Drosophila melanogaster: one gene and its partners. The protein of the gene in region 2 interacts with the protein of the main gene of each other region in a pairwise test. Each region holds a gene or a part of one and is shown on either strand. Other genes may lie near its edges.

Region 1 (3,702 bases), on a different chromosome or scaffold from region 2:
TCCAAGCCACTAAGTACACCTACCTCCACTATCCACCCCCCCCTCCCCCCTCCCCAACGTACTTCATCATTCATTTGCAATTTCCATTAAAATGTCATTGAAATTTCACTTACAAAAATTTCCCTTCAAAAACCAAACCGAAGTGGAGCAAAAATAAAAATTGAGTAGACGAAAGAACGGAACTGAGTTTTGTATTGTGGTAGAGAATGAAATCTGGGTAAAAGCGGGAATTGGAGTTGGTTTGGGGAAAACTTTAGCTGGCAATTCTATTGCCAAACGCATTTTGCACTTCAATTGCACGTGCAAATGAAAATGGAAGGGGTGGGCTATTGGTGTGTTGGTGTGTTGCTGGAAAAGTCTGCGAAAAACTGAAAAATTCAAGCCTGTTAATATGCGTAAGTGTGTGGGGCAGGTGGGTGTTGGCTGTTGGATGTCGGATGTTGTGTGGTGGGTTGTGGGTGGTGGTTTGGCAAGTGGGTGGAATCTCCTGCGAGGAGTCCTGGCGTGAAGTTGTCGCTTTATTTTTCTTCTCGGGCTTCTGGTGCTGTCATTGATATGGCATTTTCCCCAACCACCCAAAAGTACCTCTGAGTACCTCCCAACCTCCATCCCATTTTTAGCCTCACCTTCTTTCGTTGTCGTTTTGTCGTCGCCTGTTGTTAATTGTCATTGCGTCGCTTTAAGCCGCTCAGTGGCAGGAAAATGGGAAATGGAAGCCTCACCTTGCGTGTGGGGTGGGGAAAATCGAGAGGTGGTGCCGGATAAAGTGAATCAAGAGGAAGGCCAAGGAGCAGGAAAGACTATCGGACATACTCTTGCCTTGCCGAATGTCACTGCAAATCGTTGAGCAAATTGACAGCTTTTAAGTTGACAAACAAATTATTAAGTATGATCATATTCAATATATTTATTTTCTATACGTTAGTATATATATGATATTACCAGTTCTATTTGAATGCACATCACTATAATACTATCTACTAATATTAGCTTTGAAACTAGTTTAGCCTGCGCATTATAATTCGTGTGGATAGTCCGGTTTAAAGATGATTTTAGGAGCATATGCTTCCCTTCGGTGTGGATGGATAGTTTCTCCCTTAGCCGTTGTTGTTATTGCCACTGTTGCTGTTTTCACGCGCGGTTAGCGCCTGTAATTGCATTGCCAAGTAAAGGACGAACCGCGAACAGTGAGCGACATTCGTATGTGTCTCTACGTTCGTGTGGCGCTCCATGTGTGCGCTGCACTGGCAGAAAACAATTGGTGGTTCTTAAAAGCGGAATTTGGGACATACTATCATCATATATCGCTACAATTACAAAAATATATGCTTAACATGGCTGCCCCTTTCTTTGTTTTTTCTTAGTTTAAGAGCAATCCTTTGTGTTTTTGGCCAGTGTAGTTTTGGTGCGTGTGTGTGAGCGTTGGCGTAAGTGAAATTTATTTCAACAGCCCCCGCCAGGCATTCAGCCCCAAAACTGTCGGTTGGCCAACTTAGGCGAAAAATTGAGAAGCAAGGCACCACCAGCAAGGCAGCATCGCATCAACGGCAAATGAAATGAGGCTGGCAAAAAGGGGGATTCCGGGGGTTAAATGCGCCCCAATAGGGGGCGCCATCTGCGGCACACTGGCGCCAAAGTGATGGAAACCATTCCGAATGCACAATCTCACAGCGGTTGATCCAAAAAAAAAAAAAAAAAGGAGTGAATGAAAATATGCAATTCTCAGAGAGAGAGAGAAAGCGTTAAGTGGGTGCATAAAGGGGCAACAGCGGTTTATGGGTTCAACTTTGTATCGTGCAGAGTATTTGCTCGGCTATAGAGCAGTATTCCGTTGCTAATAGAACCCTTAAAAGGTACAAAAACCAATATACGATTTGGATTTCAAATTCCCATTTATATTATTACCCACTGTGCCCGAAAAAACCCCCAACTGAAGCTGCAAGCAGACGTGTTTCTGTTGCTGATTTTAAATTTTAATTAAAGTGTGGCTCCTTGGTTTTTGGTTTTGGTTTTTGGCTTTGGTTTTGCTTTTCGGTTTCGGCTGCGACCACTTGAGGTTCACGATCCGCGGCAAAGCAAACAATGGCCTACAAGTAGGGGCACTTCTTGACACGCTCTTGCCACTTGAAAAGTCCAACTATTTGGCCTCGGGGCCAGCAAAAATGGTGCGAGAAGAATGAAGAAAGGCTTTCTAAAACCTATAACCTATATATATTGGCAAGCAAAATTCCGGGCATCATGGCATCCATGACCGATGAAAGTCGATTTCCGTCAACTCATGTTGGGCTATAAAAGTGCCAAAGATCTGCCCAATGGCACACACAGTTCGATGGTCCATCGTCCAGAAATGATCTACGCAATTCTAGTGCTCTGTCTGCTGGGCAGTTGTTGCCCAGCAATGGCCCAGAAGGTCGAAAAGGATCCGCTGGCCAAGGAACAAAATACCCGTTTGGCCGGCATCTATGTGAAGGATGGCAACGAAAATGGCCAGCTGAGATTCCTGGCATCGGGCTTGAACAGTGGCAGCAGCAGCACCAGCTCTTCAAACACCGGTATCAACTCGGCCCTGAATCAGTACATAACCAATAAGCAGGATATGCTGGAGCAACTGCGTCCCACTTCGGGCACCACATCAACGGGAACGGGAGCTGTTACGGGCACATCGACGGGAACAACAGGAACGACTTCGGGAACCGGAACTGGCCTGGTCACCACGACTTCCAATGGAGCTATCTATGTGAACCTGGGCAGTTCGGGATCCTCATCATCATCGTCTTCCTCCTCGTCGGCCACCAATGCGGCCATTAATCAGGTCATCTATGGATCCTCGCCAGTTGCCGGTCTCTTGCCGCAGATCGTTGGCCAGGCGGTGTCCAGTCGAGTGCGTCCCGGTGGCCAGAACAATAGGAGGCGCGTTCCCGCCCGTAGGCGCCGGGTCAACAAGAGGCGTGGCAGCATTAACAACAACAATCAGCGACGTCGCCGGCGTGGCAACAAGCGGGGCAAGAATAAGGCCCAGGTGATGGTGGTGCGACCAAATCGCGGTTGAGAAGAGGATCCACCGCCTTTCTTAGTTAAGCGAAAAATTACTTTTTTTTTGCCCCCCAGCCAAGGAATTTTTTTTTTTTTAATGATTACTATTAGTATGCGAGAAGGCAACCTTATTTATTTATTTAAATGATTGAAAGCAATTACACTCTGCAACCAAGGTGGTTTTATTCGAGGTCATTATGGCAAAGGCGTGAAATGGATAATTAAATTTTAGCTTTGGTATAACATGCATATTTCATGGACATCATTGCTCTCACCTTGTGTATGTTTTCCAATCGACCAAATTTGCGATTGCAAAGCCTCAAATTTGTGTAGGCCAGTGGATTTGGCGTAGTTGCACTAATTTATGGGCCAACTGGTGTTCATGTTCAAAGGGCCGCCAGTCGGTGTGTCTGCGAGGTGCGCTGGCCCGTTTAGAACCCCCTTGGTGAGCCCCTGGTCAAGTGCAAGACAAACGGTCTCCGGTCGGCTCTGCATGCGGCGGTCAATGTCTTGATAAATGTCTGCAGGATGGCGCCCGGGGAGTGGCGCCCGTTGCTCCTCGTCCTGGTCAGCAGGACGACCCCTCGTGCGGCGCCGCTGTTCCATTTCGCGAACCTCTAAATCACCGTCACGTGTCCGGGCTGTGTATTATGTGCTCATGACTGTAAT
Region 2 (9,796 bases):
ACAACTTGCCACCACGTTCATGCTCGATGCTGCAGTGCTGCAAGGCCACCAGTGGACCATCCAGTACAATATCAGGCTGCGAACTAGAACTCCCTCCTGGCAGACGACCTCGTCCTATCCGCACTAGTCCTTGGGGCAACAGATAGAACAGGGTGCCACTTAGTATGGGATCCGCTGTTAAATTAACCAGACAGGCCTGCTTCTGCTCAGCAGTTAGTTCCAGAGCCAATCCCCGGCGTTTCAGGACACGAAGTTCCGATTTGCGCTGATCCTCCGCCTCCTTGAGCTTCTCCATCCATGACTTTTGCGCTCGACTCAGCTCCCTTTCCCGTTCTGCCAGCTGCTGACGCAGTGCCTCCACCTCGGTCTCGTCCACGGAGGTTTCAATGATGATCTTACGTGGCACGGGATTGTTACTATTGCCGGACAAGCGCCGCTGGCGCTCGTACTCGTTCCTCAGCGACTTCAGGCGATCCACCTCGGCGCGCAGATCCCGTATGATCTTGTCGTGGGGGGATTCGTTTACCTTCACCCGGTTGACGATGGAACGCGCCTTGCAGGCGTAACGCAAAGTGGCTAGGGTCTCATCCGCATGGATGCTGGCCGGTGAAATGGTGGCCAACATGACCGTCTTCGAGTTCCCGCCGAGGTTTTCCTGGAATGAAGGAACAACGTCAGTTATATTAAAAGCTCTGTGATGCATCTTTGGATTGGGTGAGTAATTGTATTGTTTTGATGTTAATATCTGGGGTAAATCAAGTTATTTATTATTGGCAGGGTCAATATGGCAAATGGCTGTGGTATACAACGTGTAGCTTGGCTTTCTCACATTCATAACAATATTTTTTAACACCTTTTAAAATGAAATAAATCACAAACAAGGGCATGTGAATCAGTAACAGTAGTATAAACCTAAATATAATTTTTATATGCATTTTATTTTATTTTAATCTAGCACGTAAAACCGAAACAACATTTCATTGATGAATAAATCAGGCATTTTGAATGCACTACTTTTAGTAGCTTATAGAGTCGGCTGAATATCTTTTAAGGAACAACATAAACCGATATATATAATCCTAATGGTTCCTGTATGGAATTGTTATTGGAAATGGTCCATTTAATCTCAATGTGATAATAATGATTTAATGGACTGAAGAAAATAAAACAGAAATCCCAATAAACATATTTTCCAATCAATTAAAGAACTGGATGGGCACCCAAGTTGATAAGGAAAGTGGTTTTTCACACCAACCCTATATGCATACATATGTGGCAAAAAGGAATATACCCCACTATGCAAGAGGTACGATGATTATCGATCATCGGTGAACACTATAATGCACTCGAAAGCACTCAGAACAGATGTGTGAAAATTTCAAGGAATGGAAAATTGACAATCTAAACCTTCGAGTGTGTGCTTCGATTGTGGACTCGGTGCGATAAGGAGGGACGAAATGATAAGACAACGCCCAACTGTTTGCGTAAAGCTACCGTGACAAAGGCACCTACTGATGGTCGTTATCAGCAACCGCTGTGCGGGAATCGAAAAGTTGTTGTGCAAACAAAATGCATCCACATGCAAGTACACGGAAGAAATAGGCTCAGAAATAAAACTCACTAATTGGTGCATCGCAGTGCTTTCAAAATGTTGGTTACATATTCGTTTAGTAAGATATTTGTTTACCTAATTACAAATGCATTGGCCATCCGTTGCATTTTTATCTGATAGTTTTTTTTTTTTTGTAGTGTAGTGTATGCATACGTATGTATATATGTATGTATTCAAATAAAGCTTCGTATTAGCTAGTTAGCACACATTCTTGGCAGTGTGCGTAAGTGACACTTGTTTGATTAAGCAGGTCAGCACCGTGGGCCAAACAAGAGCGGGCACCGAAAAGAGGATGGTTGATTACACAAACTGCGCAGCAGCAGCGGCGTAGGCGTGCACAGTGGTCGCAAGTGCAGAAATATGCCTTGAAAAACAGCTACCATAGGTGACCTTAGGGGCCCGTCAGTGTCGTCTGGTCAGAATCTGGGTCCGTGGTCCGTTAACCGCAAATTAATACAATTAATGGCGACACTCTCTGTTAGTCATTCACGTACCAAAGCGTACCACATTAAAAAAAATCTTTTTTCCTAAATATAGCCCTCTACGTCCTCCCACCTTTAGAAATCAGTCACGATCTCCTCAAAAGTAACTGAAATGAGCGTGCACCAAAACATAAACCGCAGGAAGGCGCTAATATAGGCGGTATGCTTTTTGAGCCAAAACAGCAAAACCTTGATCGGAACCGGCTAAAATGACGTAGACTGCCAATTAACACTAGATTTAAACAAATTTTTCAAATGTTCAAAAACCTCTAGGCAAAGTAGTGAAAAAGTGCAGCTGGTGGTTTACACGCCTAGAATGCCACACGCTGGAAATACAGTCCATTTTGACCATGGAAAGTTTATAAAAAAAAAGAACACTCCAATTTGGGCTCTCAAAAGTGTTCAATCCGCTTGGCAACCAAATTTGGTTTCAGAAATAAGGCTAAATCACGGCATGGTCGGCCTGCAGTCTAGACCGTGATTAGCGCAGCTTATAAAAACACAAATGTCCATCCCATCCTCCAGATGATCAGCCGTCGAACATCCGTCCGATCACTCTCATGATTACTTTTTCGTCATCTCCGCGGCATTAGCGATTCGCCGCTAATAAGAAAAACTTCCAAGAGTATTCCTCATGCCCCGGCTAATTAATATTTATTAAAAATTTTCAAACTAACACAGGGTGAATCACTTGGAAAATGCTTGCTTCCACGGCAGAGGTGATTTCGAGAGTAGCGAACCAATGTGCCCCAAGCGAGAGGTGTGTGGCACTCGAAAGGGGAGGGGTCGGGTGGAAGGTGAAACTCTGACAAAAGCACGAGACGCGAAAACACAACAAAACACAATGCCACACATACGTGTTTACAACCAGGCACACAAATATTTTAGTACAAGTGCGGGCAGCATAGTATATACACCTATTCCAAGTACTACAGACATTAAAGAATATTTAAAACAAATTAAAGTCCATTCATTCATATACACGTGCCCTAAACGTTTTCCCGCGACTGTCCACACACATTCACACGTAGGCACATGAGAAGTAAATATAGGGGAGACCCGAAGTGGGCAGCAAAACAAGAGCCGAAGTATCGCCAGCGCACGAGAGCTACAAAAATGCAGTAATTCTAGTGTTCGGCTTTCAGTTTCACGAGAGACCTCCAACAGAATACATCGAATTTCGGCGAGAGATTTGCAGCTCAAGAAGAAGAAAGAAGGAAAACCTCTGCGAGTCACCTCCACGCAAAAGTGCACCAAAAAGCGTTGTTAAAAAAACAAAACAAAGTGATTTTAAAAGCCAGGTTCATTGGACGCCCGAGCCAATCGAGAGACAAAGTGAAACGACCTCGCACAACGCGCGCAAAAAGAGAGAAAGAAAGAAAAACACACACCCACATTACAAACACAATTCACATCCCGTTGATTGGCACTGCAGTTCGCAAAAATAGTAACGAAACACCGCACAGCACAGACATGGATGTTTGGGGATTCTGCGTCAGCGACACCACAATGGCATATGGCGGGTCCATGCGCAGCGGCTACTACCGCGACTACGAGGAGTTCCCCTATGGTACCCTGGAGTCCACCACTTCCTCACACGCGGTCAAGGACTGCTACAGTCGAGTGCAAGGTAATTTTTGGCGAAAAAACAGATAGCGCTCAGAATGCACTGGCAAAAAAGGGGCGAGATTGAAAGCAGACGCGTTTCTCACTTGTTTTTGTGTATTGCGTGTGTTGTTTTGTTGTTTTTGCAACCATTTATAAATAGCCAGCCTGATTTCTTAGCCCCATGTGCATAAGTGTGTGTGTGCGTGTGTGTGTGTGTAGAACACGCCTTAATTTTTGCGCACAAGCACAGGGTGTCCAAAGTTTCGCGGCGCAAGTCACCTTATCAAGTAGGTTCCACACCCCCTCGATTTTGTTTTTATTTACGGCTTGAATCCACGTGCTAAAGATATTCGCGCTTAATTGCACACACAAAGCGGCTAAAAGCCCACAAGGTTCCTTACGAATTTCCGGCATTCCAAAGTTAAAGCGCAATTCAGATGGGCATACAAAAAGAGTATATCGTTACTTTGTCACTCGTGGAAAATCATAAAAGGCAAAGATATACTTTTTGTGGCAATTTCAGAGGTGGTTAAACCCGCTCTTATCGAGGTCACTACTCAAGTCCATTAAGACACACTCTGCACTCGAATACTTTACGATTATTAATTACACAGACAACTAAGCAAGCACTAAGACTTGGCTGTACCTCCAGAATCGGCTCTCAAAAGTTAAGCAGGTGGTCGCACAATGGATTCTTTTATAGGGAAGAACAAACAAAGCAGGGTTTCATTGTGTTTGAGTGCCAAAACTGAAGCGCAATAACGAAACTGAGGTGTGTAAATGTTAAACCTTCGTGCTGTTTTCGTCCATATAGTATACATATACGCGTAGTGCATTATCGGGTTGCAGAGAAATAAAAAAAAAACAAGTGAAAAATTATGCAAGGCAAATATCTAGCTTACTTTAAACTTTAGATTCACATGTCTGTACATACACAACTCAATTCGTATTTGAATGGTAGCATGCATATGTGTGTAAATATCCAGTTTATAAAGCACTTTTTTCCCCCAGTGTGGAACACATTTAGAGATTATGCAAGGTCGCTTATCGGCGGCTATAAATAGACTTTCCTCATGGATCGGCTGGGCTTTAATCAATAATAACCGTTTAGCTTTTAACACGGTCAATTGAGCAATCAAAGCAATGGTTTAATTAACGGAGGCAGGTCACAAAAGCACACAAGCTGTAAGTACAGTTGTGCTCAATGTAGTAGTTGTGTTACAGTCGTCGAAAGACAACAATGTTTTCATTAAAACCAAAGATTAGATAGATTCAACTTTTTAAAATAGGTTTCTAAAATCCAGTGCATGATAATATTAAATATATAGCTGCCTCCGTCACAGGGTCACACGTCGAGTAGCGGGAAAAATTGTGCGAGCGTGGGGAGGGGCGCCATCGGTGGCGACGTGACGTCGTGAACGTAGACGCAGCGACGTCACGTAGTCAAATCAGCTGTTCGACGGCCCAGAAGGGCACGTAGGCTAAAAGGCAGAGTGGAAGCGAATGCGGGAAACAACAGACGAGGGTGAACATTCAGTGCCGACCTTCACTAACCGGTGACCTATCACATTGCTCCCATTGCAGAAAAGTGCAAGCAGATAAAGTCCGAGAAGCAGATGCGCAAGGACTGCCCATTCTGCAAGGAGCACAAGAAGCGGCCGCTCATCAACTACATGCGCAAGCGGGAGCAAAGGAAGCACCATGACAGCATCTGCGAGGACGAGGAGGACATGCACGAGCACGAGCATGAGCTGGAGCACACCCACAATCACAGCCAGTCGACCGTCCTTGCCGCCCCGCAAAGCTGCAAGGTGTGAGTGGGAGCGAGACGAATCTACTGCGGACGGTGCCCGCAGCATTCGCGAAATGCCATATATGTATACAGATGTGTAACCTAACCCAGAAGAAAGGAAACCTGAAAGAGTAAGAACAAAAACAAAAACAAAGAAAACCCGAGGAGAAAAGAGAAAAAGCTGTCGAAGACGAAGATTGCGCGAGAGAGCGAGACAGCAGCCTGCAGCTACAATAATCTAAGGCAACTGTACCCCTATTTTTTTTAAAATGGTTGCCCAGCATTTCCGCGTTGCGAATACACTACCATTTACAAAAGCCAGAACCACTTGATACCAATTTACAACTACCTTTTTCATTATCTAGCCCTTCGTTTTTACACCAACTTCGCAGTTATGTACAACTACAAACGGCACTTTGTTTACCGACAAACAATAGCGCACGACGAAAAAATCAAGTAACGAAAACCTGCCCCGCTTGACCAACGCATTTTTTGACCTTAGGCAAAAAAAAAAAAAAAAAATTATATATGTAACACAAGGGAAGCAAAAACTGAATTTTCTATTTTGCATACGAGACTGAGTAAATTGCAGTAGAAAATTTTTAAGCGAAATTTTTGTTATTTTCGTTGCTTTAGTTTGGACCCAATTGGATCAGTTACAGGTATTACCATATAAGAAAGAAATAATGAAAACTATAACGATCAATCAAGGTTTTGCAACTGTTATTTTCTCGATATATGCGTAGTACATACTTTGGACCCCGATTTTTATTGTATCCTTGTCTATATTAGACATTCCCCTATATTTATTGTAATACCAACTGAGCGTTGCACAGTCCGAGCAAGTGTCAAAATGAAATCAAATCGAAATATGTATGTAAAAGTTGAAATTGTTCAAAAGTTTATGCCTGGTTACATTTTGTTAACTCAACTTGTCGTTACAGAACAGAAATTGTTATTAATTTTTGGTGTTCAGACTCAGCTGTGCAAAAAGACGGACGGAAATATTATAAAAACGATTTAACAATTGCATTAGTCATTTAAGTAATTGATCAAAATGTAATGATTTGTGTAAAATTTGCTTGCAGGTTCCAAGAAAATTTTCAATTTATACAATGTTATATATCATATATATTATATATTAATGGTTAGTTTAAATTATATGTAAACCGAATAAAACGACAAATGATTGAAAAATTTAAGTTAAAATGCGTACTTGTATCTTGAGGGTTACTTGAGGAAATTACGATTAAAAGAAAGGAGATATCATTCATAGTTGCTACGATTTCTAAAAGTTAGACACCTGTTCCAATTACATACGTTGAGGTGGGTCAGTTTGGACTTAAATTTTCCAAATAAAAGTCTTAATTTCTTATGCAAATCTTTACGGAAATCTTTCCGTCTCGCACCAGTTTACTAATTGAAGTTAATCTGTCTTTTGTCTGTCTGAACTCAAAATGTTCCGCCGCTTGAAAACGTTAAATATGATAAGTAAGTACTTGATGGCTAAGGTCAGGTTTTAGGCACTAAACTGGGAACTAAGCGAAAGCACCTCGAGCCCCAATAAACCGACCTGGAACTTGACCATGCACTATCCCACCTTGCAAGCGAATGTCCAGGGATGCCAGCTCCCAAGTGATCCAAATGAAACCCCAGTCAACTAAGCCGAATTGAATTAGAGCAACGAACGTTTGGCACGGGTAGATGAGATCATCCGTGCCTTAATCATGAAAGGCGAATCAAAAAAATTCAACTGATCAAACTGAGAACTGAGCGCATCCCCCCACACGAAAACCATTCATTCCATTTGCATATTTTTTCATGAGTGTGCAAAAGGGTATATGTGCAATGGGGCGACGGGGAAAGCGATGTTCGAGAGAAACAACTCGCGGGGAGGAAGCCATATACATATTCAGTTGTTTGTGCATCGAATTCGACTCATTTTATATTCCAATGCTAACCACTTGGTTGGGGCTAAATATATTATTAAACAGTGTGGCTTAAATTACAATTGTTGTTATGCGGGAAACTGGAACGGAGAGCACACGTTCGAAGCATTTTGTTATGCCAACGTGGGTCAGAGATACAAACTTTTGAATTTATAACTACTATACTATACTATACTATTTATAACTACTACTATTTACATTATTGAATGGCTCAGTTAGTCGAAATCTTGTGAATAATTAATCTGGTTACTACTCGTATGTCAAATTTTTTCAGTTCACATAATTAGCATTCATTTGTGAACTGAAAACGTGGCTTATTTGAAAATTCATAACGGCGACAGACAACTCGCCTGTTGCTAATTACGAAAATAATTAACTGACGTATCCTCAGTGGCACGCTTTTCGTATTAGACACGTATTAGAAACAGCAGATCAATCGAATTTGAAATCGTGTGAACCTACGTCATTTGCATTCAATTCGATGTTTCTGGATTTCATTCAAAATCCCACATTCCCTGGCTATCTAAACGGTGTTTGTGGCTTTCCAAATCCAACTCGGAAAATGCTGATTGTGAACTCAGTGCGGTTTCTAGGGCTTTGCACACGAGCAAGTTAATTTGGAATTTATTTAGAAAGCTGGCTTGGGACTCCGCATTTCCAGTTCCAAAGTTCCCCCAGTCATGTGAAGGTCGCAACGAGTTCTCAAAACTAATAAAAATTGAGAAAAAACTATAGTTTAATGAATAAAAAAGGACTTATTTCTTGGAGAACAGAATATATCCCTTTGCATTTCAAAAAATGCTGAACCGCTTGTTACAAAAACTGAAAAGTTCCAGAGGAGTCAAGTCGCAAGGTGAACTTAATAGCTAGGCCATGGTATTTAAAGTGAAATACTTACATCAAAATATGTCAACTATTCTAATTACCTATCAAAAATTGAATTATTCTTTTACAAAACCTAGCCGTAGTGCAAAACCATTTTCATATAAGTGGACTGTTATTAAGCCAGTTAAATAACAGTATTAACAGTATTCTTTTTTTGTTTCGAATAATGAGCTTTTTGGATAATGAACTTAAATATGACTTTAAATTGACGAGTCTGTGCTAATAAACAAAACGGACTGCAAATGTCAAATCACAACTAATGTTAAAAATTAAAGTTATAAAACACCAACCAATTTTGATTATAAAGCATCTCCCATTACTTACATTGTACCCAAATCCTGGTTAACTTTAGATTTTACTTGGCCTAAACATATTTGCTAATTGTAACATACTCTGCCATCAATTACCTTTATTGGCTTGTATACACTTCGTAAACGTTTAGTTACCATCCTAACTATCTGTATATAAATTATTCATTTTGTGTACAAATTGTTATTGCAGCTCTTAAGGATGGAAAAAAGCTGAGCAAGGGCAATTGCAAATGCGAGCCTTCAGCGTGTAAATGTGGAAAACGTCAACAACGACAGCAACAATTGAAATTGTTGGTGTCGCAACTTAGGAGACGCGATAACGTATCAAGTGTTATAATGTTTTAGTGCCGAAGTACCGCACAAAAATACCAAATAAAGCATTATCTGCAAAGTATTTTTAAATCTATGGGGTGGCAAGTGAAGATGTAGATGGAACTTTTGTGTCGTATGCAAAGATAGGAAAAGTACTTCACGGATAGATAGGAACCATGGAAGCCCAAAAATATCAGAGGCAAAAAACAAGGTCGGCTGATATATAAAAAAAAAACACAACAAAACCCCCCTCCTTTTAAAGGGGTGAAAACAACTAGTAACAATCAACATACAAACCCTAAATCTAAACCATCTAAATCTTTCAATGATTTTAAAGATGGATTGGGCAACCACAATCTGGTGCGTTTCGTCACTACGCTGGCTGCGAGAGTCCCCTACGGACCTACGACGCCATTCCAAGAAATATTTGTCTTCACCTTTTATGGCAAAGGCCGCGTACGGAAATAAATCATGTGAGCCATTTTATGGGCCGTACTACCGTAACGAAAAGCAAAGTGGACACTGGACACTAAATAACACTCAGTGGAACGGGTTTCGGGAAAAAAGACAAGTGTTTGGACTTTCGATCAAGAGCCTCTCACTTGTGGGCGCCATGTAATTACTCATTGAATGCAGTCGAATGATTATAAATTACGTCGCAAATGTCGAGTGCGCCTTTTTTTAGAAGCCAGATACTTGTATTATATAAAACCCTCACTTTCGGATTAACTAGCCTGGTAATATTCCAACAATCAAGTTATTACGAACGTGTGGCGTTCGCTTAAGAGCAGTTGTTAACTTAAAATGCACACATAAGTATGTTACATTGATTGCTAAAGAAAACG
Region 3 (3,973 bases), on a different chromosome or scaffold from region 2:
GTGCAACGGGCAGCTCCCTACAACCTACTACTAACGCTCACCGTTCAGGTTTTCGCACAGAATGATTTCAAGGATTACATATAGGTATCATATTCCCAGTTTAGAAACCACTAATTTAAGCGCAAATTCGACTATTTTGTTAACTAAAAAGCCAAAAGCTACGCTGGTAATTTTGTTTATATAATTACTCTACGTTTAGATACTATTTTTATAGTTTTCTGTGGCTGAATTATATTCTTTTGGTTAGAAAACAGATTTATTTATGCATATCAATCAAGAGACAACATATTGTTAATGAACCTAAAAATTAGATCGTAAAACATAAAAGTTTAAATATAAAAGTAATGATAATATCTTAATTTGAATGAAGAAGTTACCCATTTAACCCATGTACACAAGTCAATTATTTCTGGAAAATGTACTGAAATGTGACCATTTATTGAAAATATCCATTGTTTTCCGGGTTGCAACATAAGTCTTTTAACACCAAAGGTTTTCTTAAAACATAAGACACAAATAATTTTGCTAATTTATTCAGTAAGAAGGAAACATGCGCCTGTAGGCCTGGCATATATCGCAGCTGTTGTGATGCTCATCCAAAGGAGAACTACAGCTGGACAAGTGGCTGCACTGCGTCAGCGAGGAACTCTGGCTAAGGCTACTTAATTGCGTTGTGCTGGAGCAGGAGGACAATCGCCGTTCCTGCTGTTTCTGTTGGGCAGGAGAGCCAGCTCTCCAAGCGGCGTAACTGCCACTTGGACAACAATTGGATTGCCTCCCATGACACACGGTTTGCTGCTTTCGAGGCTGATCCAAATGGCCCAGGCAACGGCTCTCAACGTGGCGATTGACAGGAGGAGCAGAGTACTCCCTGGAACTGGAGCAGCTGCACACCTTTTTCCGATCCTGCGTGGTCAACTGCGCAGATAGCTCCACCTTGGGCGCCAGGATACCCGGAAAAGCAGGCGTCGCCTTCATCAACAGCTGAACATTGGAGCTGTGGGCACAGCTCAGGCGCGGAAAAGTGGGTTGCATCACATCCGAAAGACTGCCCACGAAGTAGGCCAACCTTCGGCCATTCTGCCAGACGGTTATCTCCAGCTGTTCAGCTTTCAGTAGCTCGTGCATCTCCTCCAGGCAGCCCACGCTCTTGAAGTATCCCTCCATCGTGAACTGATCGTGGCACAGCATCGGAAAGCGAGGCTCCATGGGTCCAGTTCGAAAGTAGTAGCCCAAGGTCTTGATGGTGGCCTCCAAATATCCGTGTGAACAAAGCCAAACACCGGGACAAGTGAGCTGAAAATGGAAGGAGCCTTGATGTCACAGGTACACTTCAATCGACATAGCCACAAACCGCATGGAGCTGCAGATCTAACTTTACGTAGAATCTCTTGTGGGACATTTGCTGCCTGATCCTAAGTGAAAGTCTGCCGGAAAATAGCCAACTGCTTGGGGCGGGAATCGAGAATTGGGGGGCGAAAGCGCATGGTTCTTTGTTTTGGAGCCCACTGGTTGCCGGGGCAGCGGTTGAAAGTGAATTTCAAAGTCGATTACTGGTCGATAACGCAGGGAATTTTGATTGATAAGCAAAAGAGTTGAAAGTGATGTGTATAGAATGTATAGTGTAACTATACAATGTGAAGAGTACTTAAAGAATTGAATAGTTTTTGAATTAATTAAGAAATAATACAAAAATATGATAGTAAAATACTAAAAAAAATCTATTTTAGAATAATTAGCTAACTCACATTTTTCCATGTTTTCATTTTCTATAGCTTTAACTACTGATAATACGGCTTCCGTGGGAACAAAGTATTTCTCACAGTGATAGCAGCAACCGATAGGAAATCCCGACCACAATGTGCATCACTAGTCACAGCAATAGTAAACAGCGGGCACAGTCCACAAAGAAAACCATTGCCGCCGGTAGAGATGGCTGCAGTTTCGGATATTCCAGTGCACCTGCCCAAGCTGCTGGCTCTGTTCAAGACGGTGGTGCCCAAGCTGGTGAACAACAAGCACAAGGGACAGTACGGACGCATTGGAGTGATCGGTGGGTCCCTGGAGTACACCGGAGCGCCGTACTTCGCGGCCATTTCCTCGATAAGAGTGGGCGCTGACCTGGCGCATGTGTTCTGCCATTCAAATGCGTCGGCCATTATCAAGTCCTACAGTCCCGATCTTATCGTGCATCCAGTGCTAGACTGTGTGGATGCAGTGGAGAGAATAGCGCCCTGGTTAGAGCGACTTCACGTCGTTGTGAGTAGCCCCCCCCCCCCACCTACATACGTATATGCTACATTTATACAATTAAATGCTAAATTTAGAATCGTTAAGGTTATTGGACCTGGACTGGGTCGGGAGCCGGGCATCCTGAAGACGGCATCCAACGTACTCAAGCTGTGCATGGACACCAAGAAACCAGTTGTCATAGACGCCGATGGACTGTTTCTGCTCAACGACAATCTGAATCTGATCTGTGGACAGCCGAATGTCATACTCACGCCAAATGTCATGGAGTTCCAGAGACTGTTTGGCGAGGATGACCAGGCGGCGCGCCAGAAAATGTCCCTCCTGGGAGCCGGAGTAACTGTCCTGGAGAAGGGCGCCAACGACAAGATCTATCTCCCTCACTGCAACGAAGTTCACTCAATGCCTAGCGGCGGTTCCGGTCGCAGGTGCGGTGGACAAGGTGACCTGCTCTCCGGATCTTTGGCCACCTTCTTCTCGTGGTCACTGCAGTCGGGTGAACCCAATCCCGCCCTGGTAGCTGCATGTGCCTCTAGTTACTTTGTGAAAAAGTTAAACGCGGCTGCATTTCAAAAGTTTGGCCGCAGCCTACTGGCCAGTGACATGGTCAATCAAATACCCAGCGTATTTCAGACCGAGTTCGAAAACAGCGATCCTCAATAGTCATTTACTGGACTTTGAACTAATTCCAGCTGTTTGTTTTTTAAAACAAGGCGACCATTAACCGAATTTTCAATTATCGTGGGATTTTTAATGTCTTTAACAGAGAACATATTGGAATGGATAGAAATGTTATGGGAATTTTTTAATTGCATTTAAACAACGTAAGAACATCTGGTTCGTTAATTTGAAAGCTGCATCTTGTTACAGATAAAATGTTTCGGCATTCATAATAAAACCATATTGATTCAATTTTAATAAACCGTTTAAGCATGACTTCTGTTTTAATAAACAAATAAAATAAAATAAAAGTTTTTTTTAAATGTATGTAGGATAATAAATCATAAAAAAGAAAATAGATTTGATATAGATTATTTTAAAGGTATTGGCGGGAAAAAGCTAAGTCGTCGGTTCCGTTCGGTTGTTGGTGTTTTGCAGCACTGGTCTTCTCGCGAGCGGCATTTCCACGTCAGGTTTATTATTGTTTTTTTGGAATTTATCAAGCAGTGAAAATGCTCCTCAAAAGACTGCCTGGCTTTGTAACACTCTGGGTCGTCCTGCAGTTAGCCGGAGCTGATTCGCCCGAGGAGGAGCAAGGCGTTCGCTACGCAAACCGCTGCGAAGCCTGCAAAATCCTGGCCACCGAATTGGAAGCTCGACTTGGAGAGACCGGCAAGTCGCACGACGTCATCGAAATCGGATACTCCGTTGACGATGTGAAGCCCAAGAAGCGCACTGAATACCGGCGCAGCGAACTGCGACTGCTCGAGTCCCTGGAGAACGTGTGCGAGCGAGTGTTGGAGTACAATCTGCACAAGGAACGCTCTGACAGCACGAGATTCGCCAAAGGTATGTCCCAGACCTTCCAGACGCTCCATGGCCTTGTGGACAAGGGCGTCAAGGTGGATCTGGGAATACCCTACGAGCTGTGGGACAAGCCCCCGGTGGAGGTCACCCAAATGAAGACCCAGTGCGAAAACCTACTGGAGGAGTACGAGGAAACCATCAGCGAATGGTACTTTAAGCACCAGGATGAGAAGTCACTGAAGAAGCATCTCTGCGA

What was found.
Region 1: the proteins of fok (region 2) and CG4116 interact in a two-hybrid assay, tested with the Drosophila melanogaster proteins (one large-scale study listed by BioGRID).
Region 3: the proteins of fok (region 2) and CG14079 interact in a two-hybrid assay, tested with the Drosophila melanogaster proteins (one large-scale study listed by BioGRID).

Annotation. Positions count from the first base shown.
Region 1 is NC_004354.4:3,066,115-3,069,816, reverse strand, and holds CG4116 (uncharacterized protein), read left to right. Parts: upstream 1-2,254; coding exon 2,255-3,049; 3' UTR 3,050-3,202; downstream 3,203-3,702.
Region 2 is NT_033779.5:20,078,506-20,088,301, reverse strand, and holds fok (fledgling of Klp38B), read left to right. Parts: upstream 1-3,231; 5' UTR 3,232-3,567; coding exon 3,568-3,724; intron 3,725-5,286; coding exon 5,287-5,519; 3' UTR 5,520-6,696; downstream 6,697-9,796. Other genes in the region: neb (nebbish), read right to left, coding at 1-655.
Region 3 is NT_037436.4:19,095,592-19,099,564, reverse strand, and holds CG14079 (uncharacterized protein), read right to left. Parts: upstream 1,567-3,973; 5' UTR 1,403-1,566; coding exon 1,355-1,402; intron 1,297-1,354; coding exon 535-1,296; 3' UTR 501-534; downstream 1-500. Other genes in the region: Gem2 (gemin 2), read left to right, coding at 1-84; Naxd (NAD(P)HX dehydratase), read left to right, coding at 1,933-2,259, 2,338-2,913; CNPYb (canopy b), read left to right, coding at 3,423-3,973.